2 linked regions of the Tamandua tetradactyla genome follow. The protein of the gene in region 1 purifies or fractionates together with the protein of each later gene. This does not show direct contact. Links are inferred from orthologs where the notes say so. Each region holds a gene or a part of one and is shown in the gene's direction. Other genes may lie near its edges.

What was found. The genes of interacting proteins can lie anywhere in the genome.
Region 2: the proteins of HECTD1 (region 1) and URGCP purify together in Homo sapiens (affinity purification with mass spectrometry; 4 studies listed by BioGRID and IntAct, with this or other methods). This does not show direct contact. The link is inferred for Tamandua tetradactyla from reciprocal best matches to the Homo sapiens genes HECTD1 and URGCP.

Annotation. Positions count from the first base shown.
Region 1 is NC_135340.1:23,139,825-23,147,579, forward strand, and holds the start of HECTD1 (E3 ubiquitin-protein ligase HECTD1), read left to right. Parts: upstream 1-4,745; 5' UTR 4,746-5,074; intron 5,075-6,427; exon of another isoform or gene 6,428-6,547; 5' UTR 6,548-6,568; coding exon 6,569-6,708; intron 6,709-7,755. UniProt on the Homo sapiens protein: E3 ubiquitin-protein ligase which accepts ubiquitin from an E2 ubiquitin-conjugating enzyme in the form of a thioester and then directly transfers the ubiquitin to targeted substrates.
Region 2 is NC_135327.1:64,852,948-64,860,928, reverse strand, and holds the start of URGCP (up-regulator of cell proliferation), read left to right. Parts: upstream 1-4,979; 5' UTR 4,980-5,036; coding exon 5,037-5,050; intron 5,051-7,981. UniProt on the Homo sapiens protein: May be involved in cell cycle progression through the regulation of cyclin D1 expression. May participate in the development of hepatocellular carcinoma (HCC) by promoting hepatocellular growth and survival.

The DNA of each region.
Region 1 (7,755 bases):
AGGAGGCATTTTCCTTCTTCATCTCCAAGGGTCACTGGCTGGTAGACTCTGCCTCTCCTGGCTATGTCATTCTGCTCTCTCTGAATCTCCTTCATTCTCCAAAATGTGTCCTCTTTTATAGGACTCCAGAAACTTATCAAGACCCATCCAAATGCGTGGAGACCCGTCTCCCCTAACCCAGTTTAACAATCACCCTTGATTAAATCACATCTCCAGGGAGATGATCTAATTACAACTTCAAACCTACAATACTGAATAGAGATTAGAAGAAATGGCTGCCTTTACAAAATGGGATTAGGATTAAAACATAGCTTTTCTAGGGTACACATATCCTTTCAAACCAGCACACATCCTTGAGGTTCTCAGAGTGTACCTGATGACATTATGTGCTAAGTACTACAACAGAGGTGAATACAAGACTTTTGTAGTTTATTCAGGATAAGGTTTGTGACTTACTCACTGGGCCTTATACTGTGCTGGCATATAGCAATTCTCAGTGGTTCATGATTCTTAAGAGTTGGGCATCATGGTGAAATGTCGGGATTTAAGCACTTTCTAGTTTCTTGGGATAAATATTTGAGTTTGGTCTCTTGCCTTCATCTGGATCTTCTGTTTGCTTCAGAGCTTCACTAACTTCTTTTAGTTATGCTTCCATTTTGTGATCGCATTTCCAATTTTTTTTCATATTTGAATTTAAAATAATAACAAAACTTTTAAAAAGCACGATAGAGAGAGAGCAGAATGATGTAGCCACGAGATGCAGAGAGTCCACGAGCCAGCAACCTTTGGAGATGAAGAAGGAAAATGCCTCCCAGGGAGCTTCATGAAACAGGAAGCCAGGAGAGTAAGCTAGCAGATGATGCCGTTTTCGCCATGTGCTCTTCCAGCCGAGAGAGAAACTGTGACTGTGTTTGCCATGTGCCTTCTCACTTGACAGAGAAAGCCAAGATTGGACATTGAGTTAACCAGGAAAGATTTTTGGAAACTTCTTATGTCTGATGGGCATGATCCAACACTACTGCATAGAAAGCAGACGAGAGTGCTCTGGGACCTGTAAAAACAAAGCCACTGCCAGTCTGGACTGAGGGGCTCAGAGAAAGGACACATTGGAGGAAAAGTACCTTCAGAGGCAAAACCATGGAGGCTGAGATCTGAAGTCAAGAAGCCTCAGGCAAGGAGAGCAGATGTACCCAAGCACATGGAGAGGGTGAGTTTGCCCCAAAGGCAGAGAATGGGCCTTCCACCTCATTGCAGTGGAAGTCATGCCGCCTGAGGCCTTGGAGAAGGTGAAGCACATTCCTTGGGGTTTGGGGAGAGCCTGGCTGCCACCATATGGAGGGGCTGAGCGTGTGCCCCGGAGATGGCAGAGAGCCCGGGTGCAGCCCCAATGCTTGGAGAGGGTGGAGCCTAGAGAAGGGTGGTCTCCCCAATATCCCCCAAGGTTGCATTCAGAGAGAGGCAGGCGTAAGCATTTGGAAAGGATGGGACTGCCACTTTCTAAAGCCCTGAGGATAAATGACTCTCAGACTTTGAAATCTAATGGACTTTGCCCTGCTGGTTTTCGAAACTATATGGGTCCTTTGACCCCTGTGTTCCTTCCTCCCTATGGAAATGTGTATATGTATCCTATGAATGTTCCCCCTTTGTATGTTGGCAGCAAATAATTTATGAGTTTTCAATGGTCTAGAGCAAATGGAGAGAATTTTGCCTTAGGACAGACCATGCCTGTAACTGACTTGATGAGATTTTATACTGTCTCTAATTTTGTACTTCATTGTATTGCTACTGAAAGGTTTAAGGTTTCTGATATTGTTATGAAATTAATGTATTTTGCATATAGAAAAAACATGTCTTTTTTAGGGGCCAGAGGGTGGAATGTGCTGGTTTGAAAGGAAGTATGCCCCCTAAGAAAAGCCATGTTTTAATATAAATCCCACTTCATAAAGGTAGACTAATCCCTATTCAATACTGTATATTTGAAACTGTAATGAGATCATCTCCCTGGTTGATGTGATTTAGTCAAGAATGGTTGTTAAACTGGATTAGGGGATGACATGTCTCCACCCATTTGAGTGGGTCTTGATTGGTTTACCGGTGTCCTATAAAAGAGGAAACATTTTGGAGAGGACGATTCAGAGAGAGCAGAATGATGTAGGCATGAGATGCAGAGAGTCCACGAGCCAGCAACCTTTGGAGATGAAGAAGGAAAATGCCTCCCAGGGAGCTTCATGAAACAGGAAGCCAGGAGAGTAAGCTAGCAGATGATGCCGTGTTTGCCATGTACCCTTCCAGCCGAGAGAGAAACTGTGACTGTGTTCGCCATGTGCCTTCTCACTTGAGAGAGAAACCCTGAACTTCATCAGCCTTCTTGAACTAAGGTATCTTTCCCTAGATGCCTTTGATTGGACATTTCTTTAGACTTGTTTTAATTGGGATATTTTCTCAGCCTTAGAACTGTAAACCAGCAACTCATTAAATTCCCCTTGTTAAAAGCCAAAAAAAAAAAAAAAAAGCATGATAGAAAAAGCAAAATAAAAGTCATACAATTTTTTTTTTCTGATGAGATTTCTTTAAAGCATAGTACAGTCATTAATTTGGAGGATAGGAAGTGAGGTCTGTGGGTAGAGATGGTGAGGGAATAAAGCAAAATACATCTTAAAAATTTAGTAAAAGTGTAGTTCTTTTACTAACTTTTTCATTTCCTGTTAATAGTATCATCATTCTCCTGGCCTCCAAATCTCAGGTGAGGGATCAAAAAAATTGAAGTTAATCATCTAAATTCTTATATATCCTTTGAAATATTTTTTCCATTTACTTCTCCATTCTTATTGCCAATAACTAGCCTCCACTCACCTACGCCCACCAACTAATCTTCCAGCTAATCTACTTCTCTACAAAGCTCTTTCCAACCATTCTGAATACTCTTGCCATATAAATCTTACCTAAAACTCTAATTTTTCAAATCAGCATCCTACCCCAGAACTAGTTAGTTAGTTACCTTATGCCAAATTTCTGCATCTCACTTTCGAGGTCCTCCCTTCTTTGTTCCCAATCTTCCTCCCCCCATCCCGCGCCCACTACCCCAACTCCATGGCTTAATGGTGGTTCTTTGCTGGGGACTCAGGTGGTCTTTCCTCTCCTTGGAACCTATCAGGTTTTGCTGGTATCCTTCTCCCTCTCTTTCAGTGTCCACATTGTACCCTTCAGAAGTCTTCTTGAATATTTTCCTGGCAGCTCCATGTCACAAATAAGTATTATTGTGTGTCATATTTGCGAAAAGAGAGTGGAATCCTCTACTCTTTTCTCTCGATTGGATTTGTTAATAAGAAACCTACCATTACTTTCCACAGTGGGACACGGGCCTACAGCTATCTGAAACGCAAATCTGTAATTTCCAAAGTACCAGTTCTACAAGCATCTGTAGAGGCTCCTGGGATTGCCAAAAGGAACAGGTATCAAATACTATTATGAAATATCCTTTTTTTGTTGTTGTTAAAAGATGATAAAGTATTTGCTTTTTTTTCTTTTTCCTTTTTTATATATTTTTTCATTTTTCATTTTTATTATTTTTATTTTTTTCTCTATATTATCATTCTATATCTTTTTCTGTTGTTTTGCTAGTTCTTTTCCTAAATCAATGCAAATGTAGTAAGAAATGATGATCATACATCTATGTGATATTAAGAATTACTGACTGCATATGTAGAATGGAATGATTTCTAAATGTTGTGTTAGTTAATTTTTTTAATTAATTAAAAAAAAACTGATAAGTCAAATTTTCCTGGTAAAATTTTTGTAACCAAAAACTGATTCTAATGAAAATAATTTCATTAAAATCAAAAAATGGAAAAAAAAAAGATGATAAAGTATGGTAGGACTCTGTGGCATGGGGTTTATTGTCTCACGAACCAAATATGTTCAAATACGTTCTATAATCAGGACTATGAAATGAGAAGTTTGAAGAGAAATAACGCCGGACATACTCGAGTGACCACATGCCACAGGAGAAGTAAAAAGACCACTCTCAGTGCTGCTGCTTAATAGGGACGCTGGATGTGAATTCACGCTTTCCTGAAGTCTCAGTTCGCTCATCCCTACAATGGAGAGAATACTTGATAACAGATCCTTCTCGGGCTAGTGAAAGGTTTCATTTTTGGCGAACAGCGCTCGGTTTGCCCCCTAAAGCCTAACCTTTTCCTCCCACTAGGGCCGGAGAGCTGAGCTCTATCTTTTAGCCCAGAATGAGCATTTCCGTGCGAAAGGCGGGGTGGCTGGAGGGGACGGGGAAGCTCAGGGTTGCCGGGGCGGAAGACTCCATGGGCACAGGTTGGGTTGCAGCTTTGACGCGCAGCGCGGGGGGCCTTGGGCAGGAGGGCGCCGAGTATGCAGACGCGGCGCAAAGCCAGCTGAGCGCGCGGGCACGAGGGTGCGCTCGGTGCCGGGAGAGGGCTCGGCTTGACAACGTAGTGAAAAGGGCACCAGGGCGAAGATAGAAAAGCGGTAACAGGCACCTCGAGGGAGGCCGAGGCCCCGTGGGCGACAGCGCCGAGACAGGGGCAGCGACGCGCTGGGCTGCCCGGGGCCCCTGATTAGCTCCCCCGCGCCGCCGCGGGCCGCCCTAAGTCCCCGCAGCGCCCCAGCTGGCCGCTCGCGGGGTCGGCGCCGCGAGAGCCCAGTCGCTCCGCCCCCGCGCGGCTCGGCGGCCCGCCGCAGCTTCCCCGCCCGGCTCTCGCTCGACCCTCCTCCCTTCCCCCTCCCGTATCACGATGGACGCGGCCTCTCCGCGCCGCCGCCGGCAGCGTCGCGCGGGCCTCTGAGCTGTAGGGCCTGAGGAGCCGCGTGTCCGGGAAGGTGCCTGCGCTGGCTGCCGCCGCTCGGAGGGACCTCTCGCTTCCCTGTCACCAGGTCCCCGCGGAGGAAGGGGAGGGACGAGGCGCGGCTTTTCCTGTGCCGCCTGTCTGGGTCGACCTGCGCGGCCTGCGGCTTCCTGGGAACTCGAGGGCCGCGGCCGGGCCTGGCTCTGCCCGCGGCCTGCTTGGAGCCGGACCGGAACGGTCTGGGACGAGAAGTCTGGGTAAGAGCCCACGGAAAAGGGAGGCGGGAGCTCCTCCGGCCGTCCGAATGGCCGGGACGGGGGTCGAGATCCGGGGCGCTGGCCATAGATTGGGAGCGACCCCAGGGTTGGGTGAGGCCGGCGGGTCTGCTGCCGACTCCCCTGCTTGGCCTCTTTGTTCCCCTCCCCCCACCCTGTCCGCGGTGGGGCCCGGCTTACCCGGTCCGAGCTGGAGCCCAAGGAGGTCCCCCCCTTGCCCTTGAGAAGCTTTCGCCTCCCGGCCGCGGCGAGGAACGTCCCGCCGGGCCTCGGAGTTCCGGACGCCGCTCCAGGCAGGCCCGCCGCCCAGCCCGGCACGGCGGCCTCCTCTCAAGACCGAGGCTTGCGCCTTCTCCTCCAGAACTATCCAACCCCCACCCTCACCCCGACGGGTGGCTAACTTGCAAGGGTCTAGTCCGGGAAAGCTGAGCACGTACGGTAGCAGTGCCCCTCGGTGCAGAGCTCGGCCTGGCCCGGCGTGTGGGGTTGGCCCGCTGGTCGCCGCCGTTGGGTGCCCATCGGGACCTGCCGGTGGATTCACACACCTGCAGCTGGGGCTACGTGGGACCTAAGGCTGTTCTCCGGTCAGGGCGCTTACGAAGAGCTTCTCTAATGACTTGCTTGTTTGAGCTGTTTCTGTTTTCGTTGTTGTTGTTTTGTTTTGTTTTTACCAACTGTCCCATCCTGTGGGAATAGGAAAAAGAGAGCCCTGGGTTGGCCTGTATTCTGATCCCTAATGTGTAAACCCATTGCGTTTACTTTTAGCATTTCTTTTTAAAGTTTTAAGAACAGTTGTCAAGACTGCCAAAATTCCTAACCAAGTCTTTATTCATAGATAGATCTTGTATCTAATTATAGTTTCTATTTGGACATCTTTAGAATAGGGGCGAGTAAATTAAGAAGTCAGCTGATTTTGTAAAATTGGAGTTAATTTTCAAGGAGAAACTCACCTTGAAGAGGAGAATTGGGTCAAAGTGTTCAGAATCTCCTCAAAGTACTGTATCTAACCTTTATGTAAAGATCCGTTTTGGAAGGCGGAGGGGGAAGAAGTTTTCTGGAAAAGGAAAGAACCTTTAGTAGGTGTTCTTTGCCTTTTTGGCATAGACGCCAGCGATAACACTAGTGGGATCCGAAGCCTGTTTGACTGTCTTTGACCAAGGCAGCTCTGGTTTCTAGTTAAGCAGCAACCTAATCAGCTTATAACCTTTTGCAAAACTGGTTTTTATTTAGTATAGTGTGCTATCTGAACTTGAAACCTGAAGAATAAGGAAAGTTGAAACACTGCATAGCATTCTATCCAAACATAAATACTTACTAGTCTTTTCTAATTCCTAGGAGGACCCCACGAAAATTTGGTTCTAGCCGATGTAAAAGAGAATTTTTAAACCTGAGCAGATCAGTCCTGGACATTTAAAGGACTTTGCCTCTTTACTTTTTTTTTTTTTTTGATTTAAGCAAAGAGGCTTTTAAAAAACCATGGCAGATGTGGATCCGGATACATTGCTGGAATGGCTACAGATGGGACAGGGAGATGAAAGGGACATGCAACTAATAGCCCTTGAACAGCTATGCATGCTGCTTTTGATGTCTGACAACGTGGATCGTTGTTTTGAAACGTAAGTACATCCCTTCATCATCTTCCTTTGGGGTTATTGTATTGATGTGTTTTCAACCATTTGCTGACTTAAGTTTGTGTAGAAATTTCTCTAGTGAATTTTAAAAATGTTTTTTTAAAAGTTCCTGCAGGATTTTGCATTTACACTTTTCAGAGAAATAGAATTGGTAGGTGAAGTAACTCTAGTGAAGATAATTATGATGACACATGTCCATGTTTACTTGCTGAATGAATGGGAATTAGTAGAGGAACCTAATTTTAACCCATAGCTTGGTTGATTCATTTTCAAAATATGTTGTTAACTGGGGAAAATACAGATACTTTTGTTAAGAAAGCTATTTCTGCACCATGAAATTGACTTATAGAATAACATAGATAATAACCAACATATATTTAGAACTGCCCATTCCTTCTTAGTATTGAGGCATTTGACGTTTTACTTTTGTTAAGCAAACCATTGGTTTGTAGTTTTCACTTTAGAAGAAATAAACTGAATGTTTCCCATATAGCATACCTTTTGAAATAGCACAGACAGATTTTGGAGTTTGGAGAATCTAAATTTTATCCAGAGGTCATAATGTAAAATTTGTGCAAAAATGTAAGAGAATTCATTACTAGATAGGTTCTTTTTTTTTATTAGTAATTTAAAAAAAAATTGACAACAAACCAACAAAAGTATTCTTAATGTATGATCATTCCATTCTACATATATAATCAGTAATTCACAATATCATCACATGGTTATATTCATCATGATGATCATTTCTTAGAACATTTGCATCAATTCAGAAAAAGAAATAAAAAGACAACAGAAAGAGAAATAAAACAAAAACAAACAAAGAAAAGATTATACATACCATACCCCTTACCCCTCCCTTTCATTGATCACTAGCATTTCAAACTAAATTTATTTTAACATTTGTTCCCCCTATTATTTATTTTTATTCCATATGTTCTACTCATCTGTTGACAAGGTAGATAAAAGGAGCATCAGACACAAGGTTTTCACAATCACACAGTCACATTATGAAAGCTATATCATTATACA
Region 2 (7,981 bases), on another chromosome or scaffold:
CTATATATGTATGTGTGTGTGTGTATACTGATATGCTCTGGCCCAGAAATTCAACTCCTAGAAATTTAGGTTAAGAATATAATCATAGAAGAGTATGGGAGTTTTGGCTATAGGGATATTTATTGCTCACATTCCCTATAATAACAAATACTGGTAGCAATATTTATATCCAAAATAGTAGGGGCTGGTTTAAACATATTATGTTTCTCTATGCAAGGAATGTTACATAAGCACTAAAACCCATGTGGAGGAAGGAGACAACTTCACTGAACTTGTATGACTTATTATTTTAAAAAACATATTTTAAAAACCAACAAGCTGGGCGGGCCATGGTGGCTCAGCATGCAGAGTTCTCACCTGCCATGCCAGAGACCCGGGTTTGATTCCTGGTGCATGCCCAGGCAAAACAAAAACAAAACAGAACAAAAAAACCAAGCTTATGTGGAGGTTTGGAGCTGTATGTTCCTCAGAAACACATGTTCCTAAATTTCATCCCTTTCTTTGGTTGTGAAACCATTTTAAGTAGGACCTTTTTTGAGATTACTTCAGTTAAGATGAGACCCACCTCATTGAGGATGGGTCTTTATCCTATTACTGAAGTCCTTTTAAAATAACGAAATTCAAAGAAAGAGCCACAGGAACAAGAGGCTGGACATTGATGGAAACTGGAAGAGAAGGGAGAGATGAGGCGATCCTGCTATGTGCATTGCCATGTGACAGGGAAGCCAAGGACCACTGGTGAATGCCTCTCTGAAGGCAGAAAGCATTGCTTTGATGACACCCTGATTTGGACTTTATTTTAGCTTCAAAACCATGAGCAGATTAAGTCTTACTGTGTAACTCAACGCATTTCACAGTATTTGTTGAGCAGCTAAGGAAAATAAAACAGATTTTGGCAACAGGAGAGTGGGATGCTGCTGTTGCAAATACCAAAAATGGGAGAATGGCTTTTGAATTGGGTAAAGGGTAAAGGCAAGAAGAATTGTGAGGGCTTGATAGAAAAGTCTGGATTGCTTTGAAGACAGACTGCTCATAGATAAATGGATGCTAAAGGTCCTTCCAAAGAGGCCTTAGAAGGAAATGATGATTGTGTTACTGAAAACAGAAGGAAAGGGGATTCTTGTTTTAAGTGGCTGAGAACTTGGCAAAATCGAGTTCTGATCTCAGAATTTGAGAGTGAAGAATTTAGGTAGTTAGCTGAGGAGATTTACAAGCTAATTGTGGAGAGAGCAGTCTGCTTTCTCCTTGCAGCTTATAGTAAAATGTGAAAGGAAAAGGATAAGCTAAGAACTGAACTCCTGGGCACAAAGTAACAAGAAATGGATGGTTTGGAAAATTCTGAGCTTCTGGAAAGCAAGTTCTAGAGAATAGTGCTCCATGTATAGGTTTAACTGAACATGAAACCAATAAATTTCCCTGCAATTTAGGATTGGAGGTGAAATTATCCATGAAGGATCTGTGGAAAGTCCTATTGTCTGATGATTTGGACCCCTGTGAACTACATACAAAACTGACAGATTTTTGCATAATTTGTATGGATGAAACCACTGCCAGCCTGGACTAAAAGGGACAAAGTATGGACAGATTGAAGGAAACATCACTTTAAGGACAGACCACAGAAGCTGAGGTCTGGGTCAAAGACATCTTTTCAGGCCAAGAGAGTAGGCCCACTCATGTATGTGGAGAGGGTGAATTTGTCCCAGCACATGGAGAGGAGGGGCCTTCCACTCTGTTGTTCAAGAAGAGTGCTGCCACCCCAGTGTTTTGAGAGATTTGGTCCTGTGCCCTGGAGTTAGTGGAGAGCCTGGTTTCCATCCTGATGCTGGGAAAGGGTAGAATCTTTACGCTTGTGTTTGGGGAAAGCATGGCTGCTGGGTAAGCATTTGGAAGGGGTGAGGCTGCTGCTACACCAGTCCCAGAGGACAATCCATCATTCCATAGATGACTCTCAGAACTTGAAATCGAATGGAGTATGCCCTGCTGGGTTTTGCAATTTCTCCCTATGGGAATGGGAATGTTAATCCTATACCTCTCCCTTCTTTGTGTACTGGAAGCAGATATCTTGTTCTATAGGTTTCATAGGTTCACAGATGGAGGAGAATTGTGCCCCAGGACAGAACATACCTATAAGTGATTTTGGTAAGATTTTGCAGTAAGCATTGTTTCTGAAATGACTTAAGGTTTTTGGGATACTGTGAGTGGAATTAATGTGTTTTGCATAAGGGACATGTCTTTTTGGGTCCAGAGGGTGAAGTGTGGTGGTTTGAAGCCATAGGTATCCCAGAAAACTTTTTCTTAAATTTAATCCATTCTTATGGGTATGAACCCATTGTAAGTAGGACCTTTTGATGAAGCTACTTCAGTTAAGGTGTATCCTGGTTTGACTCTGTTACATACCCCAGGGAAGCCTATGTTCTTTTAATTCATCCCTTTGGGTACAGAGCTATTGTAGGTAGGAATTTTAGCTTAGGTTGTTCCCATGGAGATGTGATCCAGCCCATTCAAGGTGGGTCTTAATTCCCTTTCTGGAGTGCTTTATGAGAGGTAAAAAGAGACATTTTGGAGACGGCTCAGAGAAACAAATGCCCTGTGAGAAACAAGCAAGGACCTACAGGAGCTGAGAGACCCATTTGGAAACTAGAACAGGAGAGAAGGACCAGGAAACATTGCCATGTGCCTTCCTGTGTGACAGAGGAACCCTGGATGCCAGCAGCCTTTCCTCAGAGAAGGTATTGTCATGCTGATGACTTGATTTGAACATTTAACAGCCTTAGAACTGTAAACTTGTAACCTAATAAATCCCTATCTGAAAAAGCCAACCCATTTCTGGTATACTGCATTCTGGCAGATTTAGCAAACCGAAACCAGGTGTGACCCACCTCATTCAGGATGGGTCTTGATCTTATTACTGGAGTCCTTTACAACAGATTGAAAATTAGACACAGAGAGAGAAAGCCACAGAGGCAAGAAGTTGAAATCAGTGAAACCTGGAAGAGAAGGAAGAGACCAGCAGACACCGCCATGTGCCTTTCCATGTGGCAGAGGAGCCAAGGATTGCTAGTAGCCAGCTGCAGAATGCGGGTCTCTGGGAAAGAAAGCATTGCCTTGATAATGCCTTGATTGGACTTTCTTTTAGCTTCAAAACCATAAGCTAATAAATTCCCATGGTTTAAGTCAACATATTGCATGGTATTTGCTTGAGCAGCCTAGGAAGCTAGAAAAGCTTAATAAAAAAGGAAATTACCTGAACTCCCTAATTCCAGTGGCACAATGCATCCTTCCACCAGGCCATTTAGATGTTGCCTTTTCCTGAAAACCCTTCCTAATCCTGTTTTTTCTGGGATTTCGGTCTTTGGCTGTACATATCATCTCGAAACTACTGACCATTAATTATTTTCTGAATTCAAGGCAACAGTCAGTAGTGAGCTTCCATTATACCAAAGAAGACCAGGATGCTCAGAAAAGTAGAATGGCTTCTCTGAAAGGGAAAGTCTGGCAGAAAAAATATTAATCACTTTACAAACATAACTCATTTAATCCTCATAGAAAGAAAGGAACTTAAACCCATTTTTCAAGTGAGAAAACTGTGGTTTTGGGCAGGTTCTATCTTGTCTAAGGTCATAGAGCTGTAAGTCATTTTCTGGCTCCAGTGCCAAGGATTTCAGTCACTACTTTGATTTTCCCTATTATTAGGAGTAAAAATAATAACAAAATAATAATTATTAATACTTATTACTTTAAAAATTAAAAATAATTTAATTTAATGGGCCCGGGGAGCACTCAGAGTCAAAACACACACACACACACACACACACACACACACACACACACAGAGAAAACAACAACGAAAAAACCCATGCCCTACTTCTTCTTTGAATTCTCTCTTGAGTTTCCTCTTTCTCTTTTGAAATTTGAAATCCCCACCAAGGCAATTGACCTAGTAACCGATCAAGCTCCTAATTCATTAGGTTTGACCCAATACAAAATAAAGCCCACCTGCCCTAAACCCGCCCCCTATAAGACAGACAAACCCTTGTCCAATCAATAAGAGTCAAACTAACTTCCTTTTTATGTCTAGAAAAATCATTTGCCATCCCTAGAACCCGGAAGCTGCTTCTGGTCTTGCAAGTGATCTGGCTTTCTTTGCTGCAGCAAAACTTTGGTGGCCCGAATAAAATGCTGCAGTCTGCAAACTCGACTCTGATTTGTCGTTCAACAATATAACGCAAAAATGCTATCAACAATAGTTTTTATTTGCCCAGAGATTTTTACTAATGTTTTCACTTAAAAGATCTGTTATCTCATTTTTCAGAGGCTTGAGGCACAAAAATTACATACTGCCTGTGGGTGGTACTATGAAATCCCTCCTCCCCGCACCGCTGGAATTCTAGTCTCATTGTTATATTATGTTATAGTATTATTACTATTGCTAACCGATACAATGTAAAGAAGAATAAAAATGTCTTATATTCCTTAGGGCTTCACAATGCAATTTTACACACATTTTACAAAGGATAACAGAGGCTCAGAGAGGCAACTTATCCAAGACCACACAGAAAGTAACCAGGAAGGATAGGGTTGTTTCATAATAATAACAATGCCTTACATTCCAGGACTCAACAAAAGGCTTTTCTTAAGGAAATTAAACCCTAATCGCAGAGAGACCTGGCATTGGCCCGGGTTTGTAGCTGGTTCGTGGCCCCGAGGCAGTGCGGACTCGGCGTCAGGGCAGGCTGGGGCAGTGGGAAGACCCTGGCCCCGAATTCCCCCAACCCTGCTCTACCCAGGGACCCCCGACCCTTCCCGGCCCCCGGAACCTCCCGGTTGGTCCCACCTCCACTCTAGGCCCTGACCCGCCCCGGGCCTTGCCCGCCTGGGCCCGACCCTCGCTTGGCTCCCGAACCCCTATCCCCACCCCCGCCTGGAGCGCGGCCGGCCGCCCGGCGGACGGGCTGGCGGACTGAGGCCCCTCCCCGGCGCGGAGTCGCCGCGCGGAGGAAGCGGAGGAGGTGCCGCGCCGAGACCTCGCCGCGCTCATGGCGTCTCCCGGGTGAGTGTGGCGATCCGAGGGTCGGGCCGCGCTGTCCGCTGCGGGAACCCGAGACAGACGGGCCGGGGGACCGCGAGTCTCGGACCCGGCCTCAGACCCCGACCCGAGGGGCGTCCGCGCTGGCCCTACCGCGCCACGGCCCGGCGACCCTTCCGGCCGGGATCCGTCCCCGCCGACCTTGGGCGGGCGCGGCGGGCGCTGCGGAGTGGGAGCCGTCGGGCGGCCCCTGGTGTGGGAGCGGCCCCGGCGCCGCCGCGGGCGGGGAGGGCCGGGGCCGGGGTCCGAACGCAGCCAGCGCGGCAGGGGCGCGAGGGAGACCTGCGCGCCAGGCCGGGGGTGGAGGGCGAGGTGTGGGGCCTGGGCCGCGGGTGGCGGGGTGCGGGGCCCGGTTGGCAGGGTCCCGAGCCTGGGGTGGGGTCCGCGGGGCCTCGGCTGGCGGGGTGCGGGCCTTGGGGCCTGGCGCGGGGCCTTGGGGCGGGCGGGGAGATGTGTCATCGCATCGCCTGGGGAGCTGTGCGGAGGCCTGGAAACGGCTTCACGGCGGGTGCCGAAAACGCAGGGCCCCTAGTTCCTGGCCTCTATCTTAATTTTTCAACTTTACACCCGTTGGGAGTTGGTGTCCGGTTTTCACAGTCGTTAGGACGTATCCTGAATGTCACCGAGTCCGGCAAGAGCCGCTTCCAGGATCTCCTGGGGTCTGCGCTGTTACCCACGGCCCTTCCTCAGGGAGGCTGTGCTTTTCTGACATCGCCTTCATTTTACTTTTTTACTTGATAAAGTGTTCTTTCTTTTACGAAATGATATTGACACACATCATTTGTTATTTAAAGGAAAAAAATCCTCACTTGGCAAAATAAAATTTCTAGCCATCCGTTATCCTTTTTTTTGTTTTGATAATTTAATAGGTCATGAGATCTGTGATTGACAGGTTTTCATCCTACACCATCATTTTAGGAAAGTTAGACCCCAAGGTCATTAGTTTGATTGGTAAAATTCTTCATTTGACTGTTGTTCATCATTCAGAGAGTCTTAGACCTGGTGACTGGGATAGCAATGAAAGTTGTATGTCTTTATAGCCCACAAGGGCTTTTCTGGGTATTACTAGCAGGCTTGTGGATCACTGCAGGATTATGGCTTTTTCCCAGTTAAGAGCAGAGCTGTGGAATGAATTGGCTCCAGGAAATGAGTTTTAAAAAGTATGTGGGGATTTGAACCCGGACCTCCAGGCTCCAGTCATGTCTTGGCATCTCCTTGCTGCGTTTCTGGAATTGGGGAGTGGTCATCACTCCTGGTACTGGGTCTTTTCATTGCCAACTGAGTACCCAGTACTTTGAGCTTATAAACAGAATAAACGACAGCCCATCCCTAGAAAGTCGGCCAGTTCAACAGGGGTTCAAGGTCCCACTGCATTCCTGCCCTACTTGTCAGGGAAGGGTGAGGTAGGGTGGACCTTGGGACAGCAGTGACCATGGCATCTGAGCCTGTGTAGGGCTGACATGATTCTTTCCTTAAAAATTGTGATGCATTTTGGCTGGTGAGGTCAGGAAAGGCAGTTGGCACCCAGTCACACTGCTTGGAGGTGGGTTAGAGGTGAACTTCATGCTAGGTGGTCCCCTTTTGTGAGCCAAATAGGGCCCAAGTTATTCCCTGCAGAAAACAGTGTTCAATTTAATATTTTAGATCTTTGAGCTACCTCATGAGTCCGCATTCTGAGGTAATCTGTTATCTTCTGAGGGGGAATCCATTGTGAAGCTGGGGTCAAAACTTTATTTCATTTTATGGGGAAAAGTATGCATTTATTTGGTATATACACATTTGGGACTCGGGCAGACATAACCACTGGACAGGCTTCCCTGGGAGATCAGAGTCCATCAGGGAGTCAGCATTTCCTGAGGTCCTCTGGCCTGTCTCACTGAGTCAATCAGCAAACATGAAGCCTATTTGACTAAGTGTGATGGGGAACAAGTCAGAGATACAGGGCAGAGGTGGAAGGAAATGATTTCTGACTGGACTGTTCATCAAGAAGGAGTCTCCCAAACCGGTGCTCTTTCCTATATGACCATCTCCATGAGATGGTAGGGAAAGAAAGAAGAAATCCTGACATTTTCTGAGGTCTTAACTAATTTGCTAGGCATTATGCTAAAAGCCATCAAAAGAAAAGACAAGTGTTTGAGAGAGGACCCACAACCATTTGGAGCTAAGTGGAGACAAGGCCAGGGCAGGAGAATGGTGCAGGTCTGTGGGACCTGGCCTTCAGGCTGCATTAGGACCTCTTTTGTGGATAGTGAGGTCTCACTGAGGCTGGTTTTAAGTGGGGAAATGGCATTATCACATAGGAACCTTTAGGAAAATCCACCTGACAGCCGTGTGGAGGAGGCAGTGAAATTAAGAGAGATGGAGGACAAGTGCCATCAGCTCATCAACCTGTTACCATCTGGTTTCTATCCCTGCCCTCTTCTGAAATTGCAGAAAGAGCAATTTCAGAAGAATGTGACAGTTTTTTACCAGCTCCCACTTCTTATAGCTTTCTTTCTTATCTTTAACCCTTGCCTAGTTTTCTTGCAAATGCTCAGTCTGCGACTTAATTGCCTGACCAGCTCCTCTGTGCACTGCTCCAACTTTCCTTGGGCTCTGTGGTCATTGTTTGCTGCATTCTCTCTGCATGACAGCATCCACTCTGTGGCATTAATGTCATTTAAAATATCAGGTGTTCTTATCTTAGGGTCTACAATTTAACGGTTGAGCTTCTGGGGTCCTTCCTTGTGTTTGTGGTTCATATATTTTCTTAGGATGAAAGTCTGTAACCTTCATCAGATTCTTTTTTTTTTTTTTTTAGCACTTTTATTCGTATACCATATAATCCATCCAAGGTATACAATGAGTGGCTCTAAGTATTTTCACAGAGTTGTGCATTCATCACCACAGTACATT